Linked DNA regions of Alligator mississippiensis. The protein of the gene in region 2 interacts with the protein of the main gene of each other region in a biochemical or structural test. Links are inferred from orthologs where the notes say so. Each region holds a gene or a part of one and is shown on either strand. Other genes may lie near its edges.

The links. The genes of interacting proteins can lie anywhere in the genome.
Region 1: the proteins of CDK4 (region 2) and cyclin-dependent kinase 4 inhibitor B-like form a complex in vitro, tested with the Homo sapiens proteins (12 studies listed by BioGRID and IntAct, with this or other methods). The link is inferred for Alligator mississippiensis from reciprocal best matches to the Homo sapiens genes CDK4 and CDKN2A.

What each region holds. Positions count from the first base shown.
Region 1 is NC_081826.1:175,523,607-175,531,002, reverse strand, and holds the start of cyclin-dependent kinase 4 inhibitor B-like, read right to left. Parts: upstream 3,003-7,396; 5' UTR 2,911-3,002; coding exon 2,782-2,910; intron 1-2,781. UniProt on the Homo sapiens protein: Acts as a negative regulator of the proliferation of normal cells by interacting strongly with CDK4 and CDK6. This inhibits their ability to interact with cyclins D and to phosphorylate the retinoblastoma protein.
Region 2 is NC_081838.1:7,482,897-7,490,321, reverse strand, and holds the start of CDK4 (cyclin-dependent kinase 4), read left to right. Parts: upstream 1-4,417; 5' UTR 4,418-4,448; coding exon 4,449-4,601; intron 4,602-4,761; coding exon 4,762-4,994; intron 4,995-5,126; coding exon 5,127-5,262; intron 5,263-5,353; coding exon 5,354-5,521; intron 5,522-6,011; coding exon 6,012-6,121; intron 6,122-6,617; coding exon 6,618-6,668; intron 6,669-6,822; coding exon 6,823-6,958; intron 6,959-7,171; coding exon 7,172-7,264; 3' UTR 7,265-7,425.

The DNA of each region.
Region 1 (7,396 bases), on a different chromosome or scaffold from region 2:
CGTTTCCTTTGTTAACTGAGGAGGGAACGAGAACCAGATCATGTGCTCCCTTTAAAACCAGTCAGACTTTCCTCGCCCCCGAAAAAAGGGGGGCAAGGAGAAGAAATCAAATCCTGGGGCAATCCTCCGCCGATATGAAATTTCCTAACTCCGGTTGCTTTGAAGATATTTTCCCCCGGTGAGCAGCACATTTTAAAATATTTTTTAAATTTAAATTTCTTTAATTTTAATGAATTAATTAGTTGCAATTTTTTATTTTTAATAATTTATTTTTTTAGAATTGTATTATACACTATATTAAATATATGTATATAAATATAACACTGATATGTGCAGTTGTTGGACAATAATAGGGACCAATAATATATATATTAGAATATATATATATAATATGTATATGATTAGTCCCTATTATTGTCCAGTATCTGCAAATATCAATGTTATATAGTGTATAGTACAATTCTAAAAATATTACTGATTATATAATAATATTATTTAAAATTATGATATATTATTGGTCCCTTATTATTGTCCAGCCTCTGCAAATACCAATGTTTTAGTACAAGGGGACATTTTTTCCTGTAAGTTTAGTAGACAGTAGGCCCCCAGCCCTGCAGTACGTAAGCTAGATCTGTTTTCGCTAGTGCCCGCATGGGAAACTTCTTGGGCTAAACGAAATGGAGATCGCCTATTGAGAAAGGATTGCTCACTATCCACGGGATTATCGTCTCTGACAATGGGTAATCGTTGTGACCCTGTCAGGGCAGTCCCTATTGGGGGTGGGGGGGAGGCGAATCGGGGCGACTGCCCGGGGCCCCACGCCTTGGTGGGGCCCGTGGACAGTGCAGTACAGGCCCTGCCGCGGCCGCCACGCACCGCCGGCTCTACCACCGCCGAGCATTGCTGACTCCTGCAGTTCGCCACTCCCTGCCCCGCACATCCTTAGGGACTGCTCTGGACCCTGTCGCTATCATTTGTGTACTGCGCTCGAGCTCAGAATCTATCTCGTTCAGCCTGGGCATTAGTCCTTTCAGCGACTCATGGAAATAGGCTTTTGTAAACAGAAGCGTGTGTAATAAATACATAATAATATAAACTATACTAAATTAAATCGATATTGTTAGACTTCTATTATTGTCGGGTATATGCAAGTATCAGTGTTTTAGTGCAAAGGGTATAGGTTGTAGTCATCCATGCTGGTCTAAGGACATAGGGTGAAGAGTTGGAGAAATTCTTCTTTCTCTGGCTTGCAACAGAAAAATTTCTCCAACTATTTTAATTGGTCTAATAAAAAATATCAGATTTACCCAAAGATCCCTGTCTGCCTTAGTGCAAAGGGGACTAATTTTTTTTTCTCAGTTAGGTAGCCAAATAATTAAATAGTATAAGGTCGTTAATAAAAGGAATCCAGGAAAAAGTGTTTTTGTTCTGTTTTGGTTTGTTTTTTGGGGGGGTATAAGTCGAGACAGCATACACTTCTATTTTTTATTTTGAGGAAGAATCCATTTTCTTAACTGGCTGCCTCACACTTGCTATTTGAAACAAATAGAACTGTACTAATATTGCAATTTCTTTATATGATTTGATTTACATAACTTTTAACATGCACAAATCCCCATTTTAAACAAAATAATGTATTTGACACTTAATGCTGCCTTAAATACCTTGAAACCTAAACTTTTTTGTAACTACATTCTGAGAGAGAGAAAATTTGAATACAGGTAATGGAATATTATCTTTAAATATTCATTTAAAAGGTACATATAAATAACATGGACATTTTGCATGCCTTTTTTTCTGGGCAGGTTACATTTTAAATGGCTAAAACTCTTTGTAAAAGCTTACCTGCATGGCAGCTATTTTGTGTGCCAACCTTTTTATTAATTAAATGGCAGTAGCTTCTCTTCCCAATCTCAAATACAGGTTGAGAGAAAACTATAGGGTGGATCTAAAATCTGAACCTACTTGGAAATGGACTCTCTCTCTCTCCCCCCACATGTGTTTTTTTATTACTTTCCTTTCCAAGAGTAATAAAGAGAAAAGAACGATGCATCTTGTCTGTAGGCTACCAAAATTATTCCAGAGTCAGTGGCTGATTTATGCCCAGTTCAGCCTGGTGTTTTGACACTGGGTTGGGGATTGAAAACAAAAAGAAACAACCCCCTCCCCTCCCCTCCCCCCAAAAAAACAACCAACCCCCCCCAAAACAAAAAACCCCAACAACTAGAGGCACCACGTTTTTCTCTGCAATCACTCTTTGTGCACCAAGACAATCTAATTACTTAATTCCTTGAATTTTTACAGCTTTGTTTTTCAAACCTTCTGCTCTCTATATCTCTGCCCTCTTACCCGGGCGCCGTTTCTAGAGAACAGTAATGCAGCCTTGCACGCCAGTGTTATCAAGAGGATTGAAAACAAACGAAAACTAAAAAACACCAGCAACAAAAGTGTCCCCCCCGCAAAAAAAAAAAAAAAAAAAAAAAAAAAAATCCACCAAGGGAAGAAGAGAAGAGAAATGGAAGACACGGGGCCCCGGGACCAGGGGAACGCACATGCCCCTTCCAGCTGCCTGCGCAAGCAGCCGGAACTCCCCCCTTCCCCCACTCTCCTGGGGGACCAGACGGATTAGGATTTGCTAAACCCGGGGTGGGGTCCCCTCTTCAACCCAGATTTCTCTCCGACGTCTCCCCGCGATTGATTCACCCCCCAGTCCCAGCGCTGTGAAACCCAGGTGCAGTTAGCCGGCTCCCCCGCGCTCAGCCGCCCCCGCGGGGAGGCTACCTGCAGCGCCGTGCGGCCGAAGCTGTTCTGGGCGTCGGGGGCCGCGCCCGCCTCCAGCAGCGCCTGTACTGCCGCGCAGTCCCCCCGCGCCGCGGCGCTGGCCAGCTGGTCGCCCGGGCTCGCCGCCATGTGCCGCCAGCCGGCAGCCCCCACGCCCCCTCTCTGCTGCTGCCGCAGCCTGTAAGCTCGTAGCCCTTCCGTTTCCACCGGCCGCCCTCAGTCCCGCGGGAAAGGGGCGGGATCTTCCCCTGCTCCCGTGCTCAGCCCCCCCAGCCCCGCCACCCCGCGTCGGCTCGAGGGCGCGCACGGCCCTGAGGGCTGCAGCCGCTGGGTGGAGGTGCGCTGCCACCAGCCCCGGCGCAAGCGCCTGCCTGGCCATCCGGAGCGCGCAGCGTGGGCGCGGGCTGCCTCGCGGGGACGGGGGATAGGGCAGGAGGTGTAGGCTGAGCAGCGCTGGGTACCAGGCCCGCGACCATACTACCAGCTTTCCTTCGGCCCCAGGAAAAGTGTCTTGGGCCCCTGCTGAACACGCCAAGAGCAAAGGCTGGCCGCCACTGCGCCCTTGCCTATGGCAAACCCTGCCCAGGCGCCTCATCTCAACGCCAGCTCGGGGGGATGGGAGATGCCACTCAGCTGTCGGGCCCGCGATTCACGAAGGACGTGGATCTCTTGGAAAAAGCCCAGCAGAGAGACAACAGTGGTTCGGGGCCAGGGGGGCAAGGCTTCTGAGAAAAGCTTGAAGGAGCTAGGGTTCTTGATTCCGCAGAAGAGAAGAGCGGGGGGAGGGGCGATTTGAGAACAGTCTCCAAATACCTGAAGGGCCTTACAGAGAAGATGGGGAGGGATTTTTCCCTCTGGCTCTAGCTGTAGGGGACTGCACTAGGAGCAATGGCCTCAAACTGCAGCATGGGAGATTTAGGATGGATAGTAGGAAAACCTTTGGGACTCTGAGGGTGGTCAGGCATTGGAATAGACTACTTAGAGAACTTGTGGAATCTCCTTGCTTGGAAACTATTAAGAGTAGGTTGGACTGACACTTAGGAGGGATGGTTTAGTCGGGACTGGACAGACACCTTGCTGGGATCATTTGAACTCAGCACTATTCCTGTCCACAGCAGGGGGTTGGACTCGATGATCTTTAGGTCCTGTCCAAGCCTTAATTTTTATGATATGATTCTATGATATGATATGACCAAGCCTGCCTTGTGATCCCTTCCAGCCCTACTTTCTTAATATGTTTTAATACTCTAGTACCGAGCATCTCCCAACATTACCATTAAAATAAGCACCATTATAGGTGGGATCCTGAGATTCCCCTTCTGGGCTGGTCTGAACAGAGCTGTACAGTGTCCGAGTAGATAACCTCTGGAAGTCTTCTTTCCTTTCTCTCTCTCTCTCCCCCCCCCCCCCAACTTTTTTGATTCAGGCAACTATATAAAGCAAAATCGGAAACAAAGAGGAACATGCAGGAATTCGAATGAGGTTGAAGCTGTAACATCATTACAAAAGAAATAATACAAAACAATTCCTATAAATTATCACTACTATCAATATCGTGGTGTGTGTGTGTATGTGTGTGTGTGTGTGTGTGTGTGTGCGTATGTGTGTGGTCATTAATTAATTTTCAAAGAATCTGACTAGAGACTAGCTTACTGGGTGGTAATTTTTTGCCCTCAGCAATAGAAATAGATCAGTATAGGTTGGAAATAGAACCCATATTTTGAAATATCTATTCCTTCTTTGTCTTAGGCTGGTAATCTAATTTGATATGACAGTTTGTCCAACAACAACACATCCTATATTTTAGGTTAGCACATTATGGGGGAGAGGAAGAGGGGATGGTTCCTTCCACATATAAGCCATCTGTAATCTAGCTAACGACTTTTACTGGGGCATTCAAATGACAAACCAGTGGATTCAAAGAATTATTACCACCCACCTCACTAGTAACTTCCCCCTTCCACCCTCCCCCCCAGAATATTTGTACATTTGGACACAACCATAACATATGGAAAAAGGGACCTCTTTCTCTTTAGTTTCTCCAACATGATGCATCACCATTAGAAAATATGTGTTGGATTCTAGTTGGAGATAGGTCTCATCTTTGGAGTATTTTATAAAAGGCTTTTTTTTTTTCCTTTGGAAAGCATATATGGAAAATGAACACCTCTGTCCCCAAATTTCTCTTCAGTGCTCTAGCTCAGTTTCTTTCCTCAGGTCTCTTTCACAAGCCTTCATTTGTTTAGTCTTCCTAGCCATCCCTTTCTCTATTAAAATTGCATATATAAGATTAACTCTTTTTTTCTTGAGTCCACAATATGTCAGTTGCTCAAAGGGAGTATGCTTTTCTATTTATTTTTTAAATAAAATTCCTAATGTGAGGATACTGAAAAAAGGACTCATTTCCATTAGGGTTATCACAGATTCCTTTATTTTATAAGATCTCATAGCCTCCTCCCAAAAGCATTTGCCTAACTGGAGAATACCCACCCTGACCCAAACTGAGGGTATGTTTATACCAGATGCCTTAATGTACCCTGAACTGTTCTACTGTGCATTAGCACATTGCAGCAAAAACTAATATGCAGTAGAATTAGTCTGCTGTGCATTGAGCATCACAAAAAAAATGCCTTTGCTACCCTGCATTAGTGCTGCTACTGTGCCTTTATCTAGTACCTCATATTAGAGGTACTAAACTTAATGCAGTAGGAAAGGCACATTAATGAATATATAGACATGCTAAGAATTGCATTTTTGATCAGTTCTAGGGAGGAATTCTTTGGACAGTTAATGGGGAGGAGTGTGGGGAAAGCAACTTTTCACACACCAATGTATATCTTTCAACTGGGCTGCATGATAATATGCCATTATGGTGGGCACTGCAAGATCTTCCATTTTAGAAGGCCTGTGTATAACTGATGTGCTTACGCTTGGCCTCTTACTTTTACAGGCAAAATTCAGGAGAAAAGTTTGTGAAGCCTTTAATGTACTCCTTGGCATACATATAGTTAAGCTTTACAACAGTAAAGGAATTTTTGGGATATATATTTATTTTAAAAGTGGTTATTCTGTTTCTCCAAGAAATATCCATCCCCCATCCCCCTCCATTTTCTGAGGGGTTTTGTTATTTTAGACCAGACTGGCAAATAATTGGTGATAAAAAGTTTCTTGTGCTTTACTGTAAAGTTAATACCCAGGCATCTTATTGAATTTTAACCCAATTAAATGCATATAGTTTTTCATATATACATTTATATAAGCTTAAGTTTCTCAGAAATACCATGATCTAACATTTCTGATTCTTCATAATTATTTTTTTATCCATAAAAAGAGACAAACTTACATGCCTGGAATACTATTGCTTTTAAGGAAAAAAGAGGGTTTTTTACAAAAAGGAGTGCATCATCTGCATACAGAGCTCTATTAAGTTTCATCCCTGTGTCCTAAAAAGCCTCTAACACATGGTCACCTGTTAAGGAAAAAAACTTCTTGCCTAGGTTTCAAAAGAAAGTTTTTAAGAAGTTCAAACTTTGGTTCACATGCAGTTCAGGCAGGCAAAGAAAAGTAAAAAAAATCCATGTTCACCTTGAAATTTTTATTCTATTACCTGGCCAATTTCAGAAGCTTATTAAAGAAGGCTAGTGAATACAGAAATATGGTTGATAGGTTATATTCTAATTCAGCGGTTTTCAACCTATTTGCCATAGTGGGCCACACATGCAGCTTTCAACATGTTATATGGGCTACACCCCACAGCTAAGGGGGCCCCCAGCTGCCAGGGCTACAGAAACCAGGGCCACGGCCTGTAGCCCCCTATCCCGCCCCCCCATCAGCACCCAAGCCCCGGAGGCCTCCCATGGGAGGTGGTGGTTGCTGTGGCCAGAGTGGAGCATGCAGTTCAGCTCTCTGCCACTCCCCCCCTCCCCCACTGTGGGCAGCACAACTGAAATGAAGCCCATTGCGGGGAGAGGGGAGGGAGATATGACCTGCCTATTGTGGGCTCAGGGCTTCTGCAGCTCAGTGGGTGGGCCCTGGAGGGGAGGCTCAGTGCCATGGCTGGGAACAGCATGCTGGCCTTGCCACCATGGTGAGGCAACCCTGCCCACCTGGCAGCAGCAGCAGCAGCATGGAGTTGTGTCCCCCAGCTGTTGCTAGGTAGGCAGGGGGTGGCTTGCCATGGTGGTGTCGCCAACATGGGGCTCCCTGAAGTGGCATTGAGCTTCCCCACCCCACTCTGCTGCGGAGGCCCCTGGGAGAGGGCAGCAGGGTAGGGAGCCCCAAGCCTGCAGCTGGCAGTTCACATCTACCCCACCCCTGCACACAAATCCAGGGGGCATGTGCCCCCCCCTTCCTCTCTTCCTGGGATTATGCGCAGCAGCAGGGAGCCCCCCCCCCTACCCCTCACTGGGCCCTGTGGCTGCACATTTCTATCTTGGTCCTGGACCCCATGTACCACTTCAGCTGGGCAGTGACCACAGCCCATCCCAGCCCTGTCCTGCCCTGTCTTACTTTAATCCCTCTCTCCCTCCCTCACTGTGGGGGCCTCAGTTCCTCCCCCTCCCCCCCACTTCCCTGCATAGACTTACCGGGAGGGAGCTGAAGGAGCTGCTCTCCA
Region 2 (7,425 bases):
AAGGCTGCTGGGGGGGGGGGGGGCAGGGCAGGTGTGCCACGAGTGGTACCTGGCAAGCTCAGGAGGGCGTGGACAGCATGGGGACAGAAAGCAGAGCAGTGGATTAAGCAGGGAGCAGAAAGCAAGAGTGGCAGATGGGGTGGGGAGGAGAATGCAGGGCAGCAAATGGGACAGGGAGCAGAAAGCAGAGCGGTGGATGGAACAGGGAGCACAGGACAGGGAGCAGAAAGCAGAGTGGTTGATTGGCCAGGGAGCACAAGGCAGGGAGCAGAAAGCAGAGTGGCAGATGGGGTAGGGAGGAGAATGCAGGGCAGCAAGTGGAGCAGGGAGCATGGTGCAGCGAGTAGATAGCACAGCAGCAGATGGGCCAGGGAGCACAAGGCAGTGAGCAGAAAGCAGAGCGGCAGATGGGCCTGGGAGCACAAGGCAGGGAGTAGATAGCAGAGTGATGGATGGGACAGGGAGCAGAAAGCAGAGCAGCAGAACAGGCAGAGCAAGGGGCCCTGAGTGATGCTTGGGGAGGTTGTGGAGGCTGATTCGTGGCCTGTCCACACAGAGGCTGCTCCCCCTCCCGGGCAGAGACGCACAGACTGCAAGGTCCCAGTGGGGGGTTGCAGGTTCTGGTCCAGCCCCCCATCCTGCACGTGGGACTCGCCGCTCCCGGGCCACCCCTGTCAGACGCCCCTGCTGCAAAATCTCCCAGATCGGGGCCCTATCCTGAGCTCCCAGGGGGTGTAATGGGGCAGCTGAGCTGTGAAGCTCCAGCAGGGTCTGGACCAGGCCTCAAGCCAGGCCTGGCCATTTCTGTAGGCTGGCGGGGCTGGGACATGGGTACAAGACATGAGAGAGCCCCTTTGAGTAGATCCTGATAGTAATCCACACTTCCATCCCGTCTCCGTGGGCACCGAGGTTCGGGTGGGCTAAGTGACATGACCAAGGGCACACAAGGAGTTAGTGGCAGAGGACATTCCCATTTCCCACCACCCGGCCTTCCCCTTGGAGCTTCCCAGCAGGCCCTGGAAAGCCCTGGGGTCAGAGGGCAAAGAAAAGGAGATGGGTGTACAGATTGGTGTACACACACACACAATGCATGCACACATGCACATGTGCGCATGCACAAAGGCACACACCTACACACACATACGTGCATGCACACAGGCACACATACTCAGGTGCACACCTGCATCATCTGCGCACAAATGTGCATGGGCATGCGCACACATGCAGGTGCACACATGCATCACATGTGCACACACACAGGAACACACAAACATGGGTCTGTACACCATTGCATGCGGAAACACATATGCACTACTGGTGCATGTATGTGTCACATGCAGGAACACACATGCATCACAGGTGCACACATGCACAAACATACATGGGCATGTACACACATGCAGGTGCACGCATGCATCACGTGTGCATGCGCAGGAACACACGTGCATGGGCACATGTACATTCATTGCATGTGTGAACACATGCATGACCGGTGCACACGTGCATACACATACATGCACGGGCATGTGCACGCAGACATATGCAGGTACACACGTGCATCACATCGCTGCACTTAGAAACTGAATTTTGAACCCAGCACTTTATGAATTGACACACCACTGGGTTGCTGGATAGCAGGGAGGCTTGTTCCAACAAGCTACAGCACTAAATCACAGAACAAAGACTTTTCTGGGATATAAAACGAGCAATTCGTCCTAGTATTATCTTAGCTTCACAGAGGTCTTTACCCAATGCGGGCAGGAAGCAGCTCTTGTGCAGCCTCCCAGCAGGGATCCTTCACTTGCTGGCTGGGTGGCAGGATGCCTTCTGGGTCTCCCCTGGACTGCACACGCCTTGCTGGCAAACGTTTAGTTCTTATACTGTTGAATTGTATGGCTTCGAAACAGATTTTTTTGATGGGTTGAAGCTGACAAGGTGGCGGGGGATTGTCCTTGGGTTGTGTTGTAACCGGCAACCTTTTGGATCCATCGCTGGACCAACCAACTGACATGCACAAAGACCCTTGATCGCTCTGGAGGTTTAGCATTTGCTTAACTATAGTATAGCTTGATTGCTCAAAGCCCAACACCCAAAACCAGTGGTTTACTACTTGATTAACTGAGGTGGGGCTTGATTACTTGAATTGAGCACCTTAGGCCCTGAATCCTAAGCCAGGGTATAGGTCATTGTTATAACAGGGCAGATCCCACAATCTTTTCCAGTTGGCAGACACCTAGACTGGGGAGGAAGGTGATAACAAGGGAGAGGCAGTCACTTTGAAAGGGGAATTTAATTGATTCATAATCAGTTTAGAGTAGTTGGGCATGGGGCCTACTTGATACCAAAGCCAGAGATGGGATGAACTGTATTGCAATGTTTCGGGTGGGCCCCATCACGAGTGTACATTCTCATGCAAAAGGCACTGATATTGTCATTTAGTCGTTTCAGTTTTGCATAGGTCTGGACAAGCTCTGCGTCCAGCAATGTGCACACGCATAAATGCACAGACATGCATGAGGGTTGCAATTAAAGATTATTTTTATTTTTATTTTTTTGCAAAAAATCTTGTTGGTCTAATAAAAGATCTCATCTCTACGAATCCTGATTGCTTTTTCCTCTAGACCAATACGGCTGCAACCTGGATACCAAAGATACATAGGCATGCACACATACGGAGGTACACACATGCATCGCATGCAGGCACACGCATAAACACGCATACGTACATGAGCATGCACATACCTGCGCACATATGCAGGTACGCATGCACACATACTCAGGTGCACCCATGCATCACCTGCACACATGTGAACAGTACGCATGCATCGCATGTGTAAACACACATGCACCCCATGTGCACACATGCACACACACATACATAGGCATGTACACACATACACAAGTGCACACATGCATCCCATGTGCACACACAAACACATATATATGTGGGCATGTACACATACATACATGCTCACACATGCAGGTGCACACATGTATGCGCATGCATAAACACACATACGTACATGGGCATGCACATACCTGCACATATATGCAGGTATGCATCCACACACACTTAGGTGCACACATGGATCACTTGCACACACACATGAACACACATACATGGGCATGTATGCATGCATTGCATGTGTAAACACACATGCATCACATGTGCACACATGCCCACACACATAGACATGTACACACACAAGTGCACACACGCATCCCATGTGCACACACATAAACACACATATGTGGGCATGTACACACATGCATGGGCACATACATACATGCATGCACATGCAGGTACACACATGCATTGCATGCATGCACACACATAAACACATGTAAGTACATGGGAATGCACATACCTGCACACATATGCGGTTATACATGCACACATACTCAGGTGCACACATGCATCACCTGCACACACACATGAACACATATACATGGGCATGTACGCATGCATCACGTGTAAACACACATACATCACATGCGCACATGTGCACACACATACATGCATAGGCATGTACACACCTACGCAAGTACTCACACGTGAACACATGCATAGACACACGCATATACATGCATCGCATGCATAAACACATATGCATGGGCACGAGCACACCTACACACACGCACACATGTACATTCATGCACTTACATGCATTTGTGTGCGTGTACACTCTTGCATACATACGCGTGTGCCCATGCATGCCCACGCCCGCGTAGACACCCGCACATCACGCGCGCGCCCCCGTGTTCACACCTGCACACGCGCACACGAGGCAGTCTCTGCGGGACCGCAGCGCCAGGAAGCCTTTAAGAGCCGGGGAAACTGAGGCACAGAGCAGGGAGGGGCCCAGCCGGGCCCTTCCCACCGTGGGGCTGGTCCCCGCGGGCCCGGGCAGCCGCCTACCCCGGGAGAAGAGCGGGGCACAGAGCTGAGGCCCGACGCGGGGCAAACTCGTGACAGCGCGCGGCGGGCGAGGGGCCGGGCCCTGTTCGTGGTGCTGAAAGCCCCGAGCCGCCTCCGGCCGGAGCCTCCCGCACCGGGAGGAGGAGCCAGACACCGGGGCTAATGAGCGCTGCCCCGGCACTGCCCTGCCCTCCCCTCCCCGGCACTCCTCTGCCCCTGTATTACACGCATTACGGTAGCATCTGAACCCTCCCCCCCCCCACGAACTAAGGGCACCCCCAGCGGGTCCAGGCAGCCCGGGGGGAGGGGGGGCAGGAGGAGAGACCCCCCCCCTTGCAGGCTCTGGGGGGAGGGGGGGCACCACCCCCGGGCAAATGCAGCCACTTCTGGGGTGGAACTGCCCCCCCCAGCACTGCCCCCCCATATGGGGGTGGGGGAGGTGAGGCAGGAGCCCCCCCCATACACTGTGGGGGGGGGCTGAGCTGCACCCCCAGAACCCCGGGTTCAAATCCCGCCCCCCCGCCAACCCATGCGTCCGGGGGGCGGGGAGCGGGGGGGGTCTGCGCGGTCCTTCCGGCCGCCCTGTCTCGCTGGTTCCGGTCCTCCAGCCCCGCCCCCCGGCCCCCGCACCGACACGGACACCCGCCCGGTCCGGCCCGGCCCCACCGCAGCGTGGCCCCCGGTGAGCCCCCCCCCGCCCTGGCCACGCCCCGCCCCCCGTGCGCACGCGCGAGCCCCGGGGACACGCGCACACTTGGGGCGGGGCCGGCGGGGGTCCGCCACGTGGGCCCGTGTTGTTGTAGGGTCGGGGGCGCGGGCCGTGACCCCCGCTCTGCCTGCAGGGGCCGGGAGCCGGGATGGCCAAGGAGGTGCGGGCGCAGTACGAGCCGGTGGCCGAGATCGGCGTGGGCGCCTACGGCACCGTGTACAAGGCGCGGGACCTGCAGAGCGGGCGCTTCGTGGCGCTGAAGAACGTGCGGGTGCCCAGCACCGAGAACGGGCTGCCGCCCTCCACCCTGCGCGAGGTGGCGCTGCTCAAGCGCCTCGAGCACTTCGACCACCCCAACATCATCCGGTGAGCGCCGCGCCGCCTGGTCCCGTGGCTCCCCCACGATCGGGGGGCTCCACCCCGTGGCTGCCGCCCCCCACGTCTCTCCGCTGCCCCGGCTTGGAGACCCCTGGCTCACCCTGTCCCCCCCCCCCGCAGGCTGATGGACGTGTGCGCCACCATGCGCACGGAGCGCGAGACTAAGGTGACGCTGGTCTTCGAGCACGTGGACCAGGACCTGAAAACCTACCTGGACAAGGCCCCGGCCCCCGGGCTGCCCCCCGACACCATCAAGGTACGGCAGGGGGGTCCTGAGCTTGCTTCCCCCCCCCAAACCCACCCACCCAGAGGCTGTTTGAGCTCACGCTCCTCTCCTGCCCCGCCAGGACCTGATGCGGCAATTCCTGCGGGGCCTGGACTTCCTGCACTCCAACTGCATCGTGCATCGCGACCTGAAGCCCGAGAACATCCTGGTGACCAGCGGCGGGCAGGTGAAGCTGGCCGACTTCGGGCTGGCCCGCATCTACAGCTGCCAGATGGCCCTGACACCCGTGGTGAGCTGGGGGAGGGGGCTCTGGGGGCACCCCGGTATCCAGGCCGCCCTGGCAGGTGGAAGCAGCCCCTGGTTAGCGGGGGTTAAGAGGGGGCTGGTCTCTGCTGATGGATCTGAGACCTCTCTCCCCCCCAACCTCTGGAGCAGGGCACAGTGAGAGCCTGGGTAGACTCTTAGCAAGGCCTCTGCTTTGCAGGGGAGCCTGGGGTGATGGGGAGGGGTCTTCTGGGCTCTCTGCACCCCCAGCACTCCCCTGGTGGCAGGGGTCCACTCCCATGACCTAAGCAGCCCCCTGCCCAGCCCCTCTCCCAGCCAGGAAGTGTCTGGGCTGGGTGGAGGGAGGAAGTGACCGATGGGGGAAGGACACTCAGCCCAAAGGCATTTCCTGCCTGGCTGGAGCCTTCTGTCCCTCCCCCACCCCATGCAGGGGAGCCCGGCCCATGGGGAGAGGGTGGGGGGGCTAAGCGACTGTATCACCCACTCGCCCGCAGGTGGTGACCCTGTGGTACCGGGCGCCCGAGGTCTTGCTGCAGTCGACCTATGCCACCCCCGTGGACATGTGGAGCGTGGGCTGCATCTTCGCGGAGATGTTCCGGCGCAAGTGAGTGGGGTGGGGGGACGGCACACGTGCGTGATGGCACAAGAGTGTGGTGGGGACACGCTGGGCATGGTAGGGCCTGGGTGAGCACCTCTTCCCCAAGGGTAGGGGGCAGGGGTCTTTGCCAGCCCCCTTGGGTGGATCCCACTGTGTACAGCATCGAGCGCAGGGGCAGGGTGGGGCCCAGCGGCTGGGAGACAATTGATTAGAGCCGAGCTAGGGTCGACCCCCGGGCGCCTTATCGGACAGGGCCTGATAAGCAGGGAGGGGCAGGGGCCAGCTCCCCCTTCCCTGGAGGGGCAGGGGAAGGGGCGATAAGGGGGTGGTCCATGTGCATGCAGCTGCCTGGGGGGGAGGCGGGACCGGGTCAGCTCCCTGCAGCAGGGGAAGCAGTGCCAAGGTTGGTGCGGCCACACTCAGGGGGCAGAGGAAGAGGGTGAAGATGGGGGGCAGGGCTCCCCCCCAGCCCCCTCTGACCTCAGCCCTGTCTCCTCCACAGGCCTCTCTTCTGTGGCAACTCTGAGACCGACCAGCTGGGCAAGATCTTCGAGTGAGTCATGGGTGGGGGGTGTGGGAATCCATGCTGGCAGCACCTGGGGGCTGTGGGGCCTGGCGGGACTCCTGTACTGAGTGGGCGGGGGGGCCCTGATCCTGCCAAAGCTGATGCCCACTCACGTGCCCTGTCCCCCCTTCCCATCCCACAGCATGATTGGGCTCCCGGCGGAGGACGACTGGCCCCGAGACGTGTCCCTGCCCCGTGGTGCCTTCAAGGCCCGTGGCCCCCAGCCTGTCAAGACCTTCGTGCCTGAGATAGAGGCCCTGGGTGCCCAGCTGCTGTTGGTAGGTTGGGAGTGAGGGGCGCTGGATGGGTTGTAGGGTGCTGCAGGTTGGGTGGGCAGTGAGGGGCATTGAAGGTGTGGATAAAAGCAAGGCCTCGCTGATGCATTAACCCTTTGTTGCTCTGAAACCCCATCCTGCTTCCAGCCCAGCCTTGTGTGCGGGGCGGGTCTCCACACCCCATGTAACCCCTCCTTCTCTGCCCCCCTCCCCCAGGAGCTGCTGACCTTCAGCCCCCACAGGCGGATCTCGGCCTATGATGCCCTGCAGCACTCGTACCTCCAGGATGCCAGTGCAGGAGAGGGGTAGCCCCCCTCCACCCCAGACCACCCAGAGGACTTGTGCACAAGGACACTGCCCCACCGACCCCACCCCCCTCTCCGCTGGAGGGCGTTTGGGACAGAGGTGCTGCCAGCTGGACGATGCCATGGACGGTGCCTACCCCCACTTCACCATGGGGCACCTGGGCC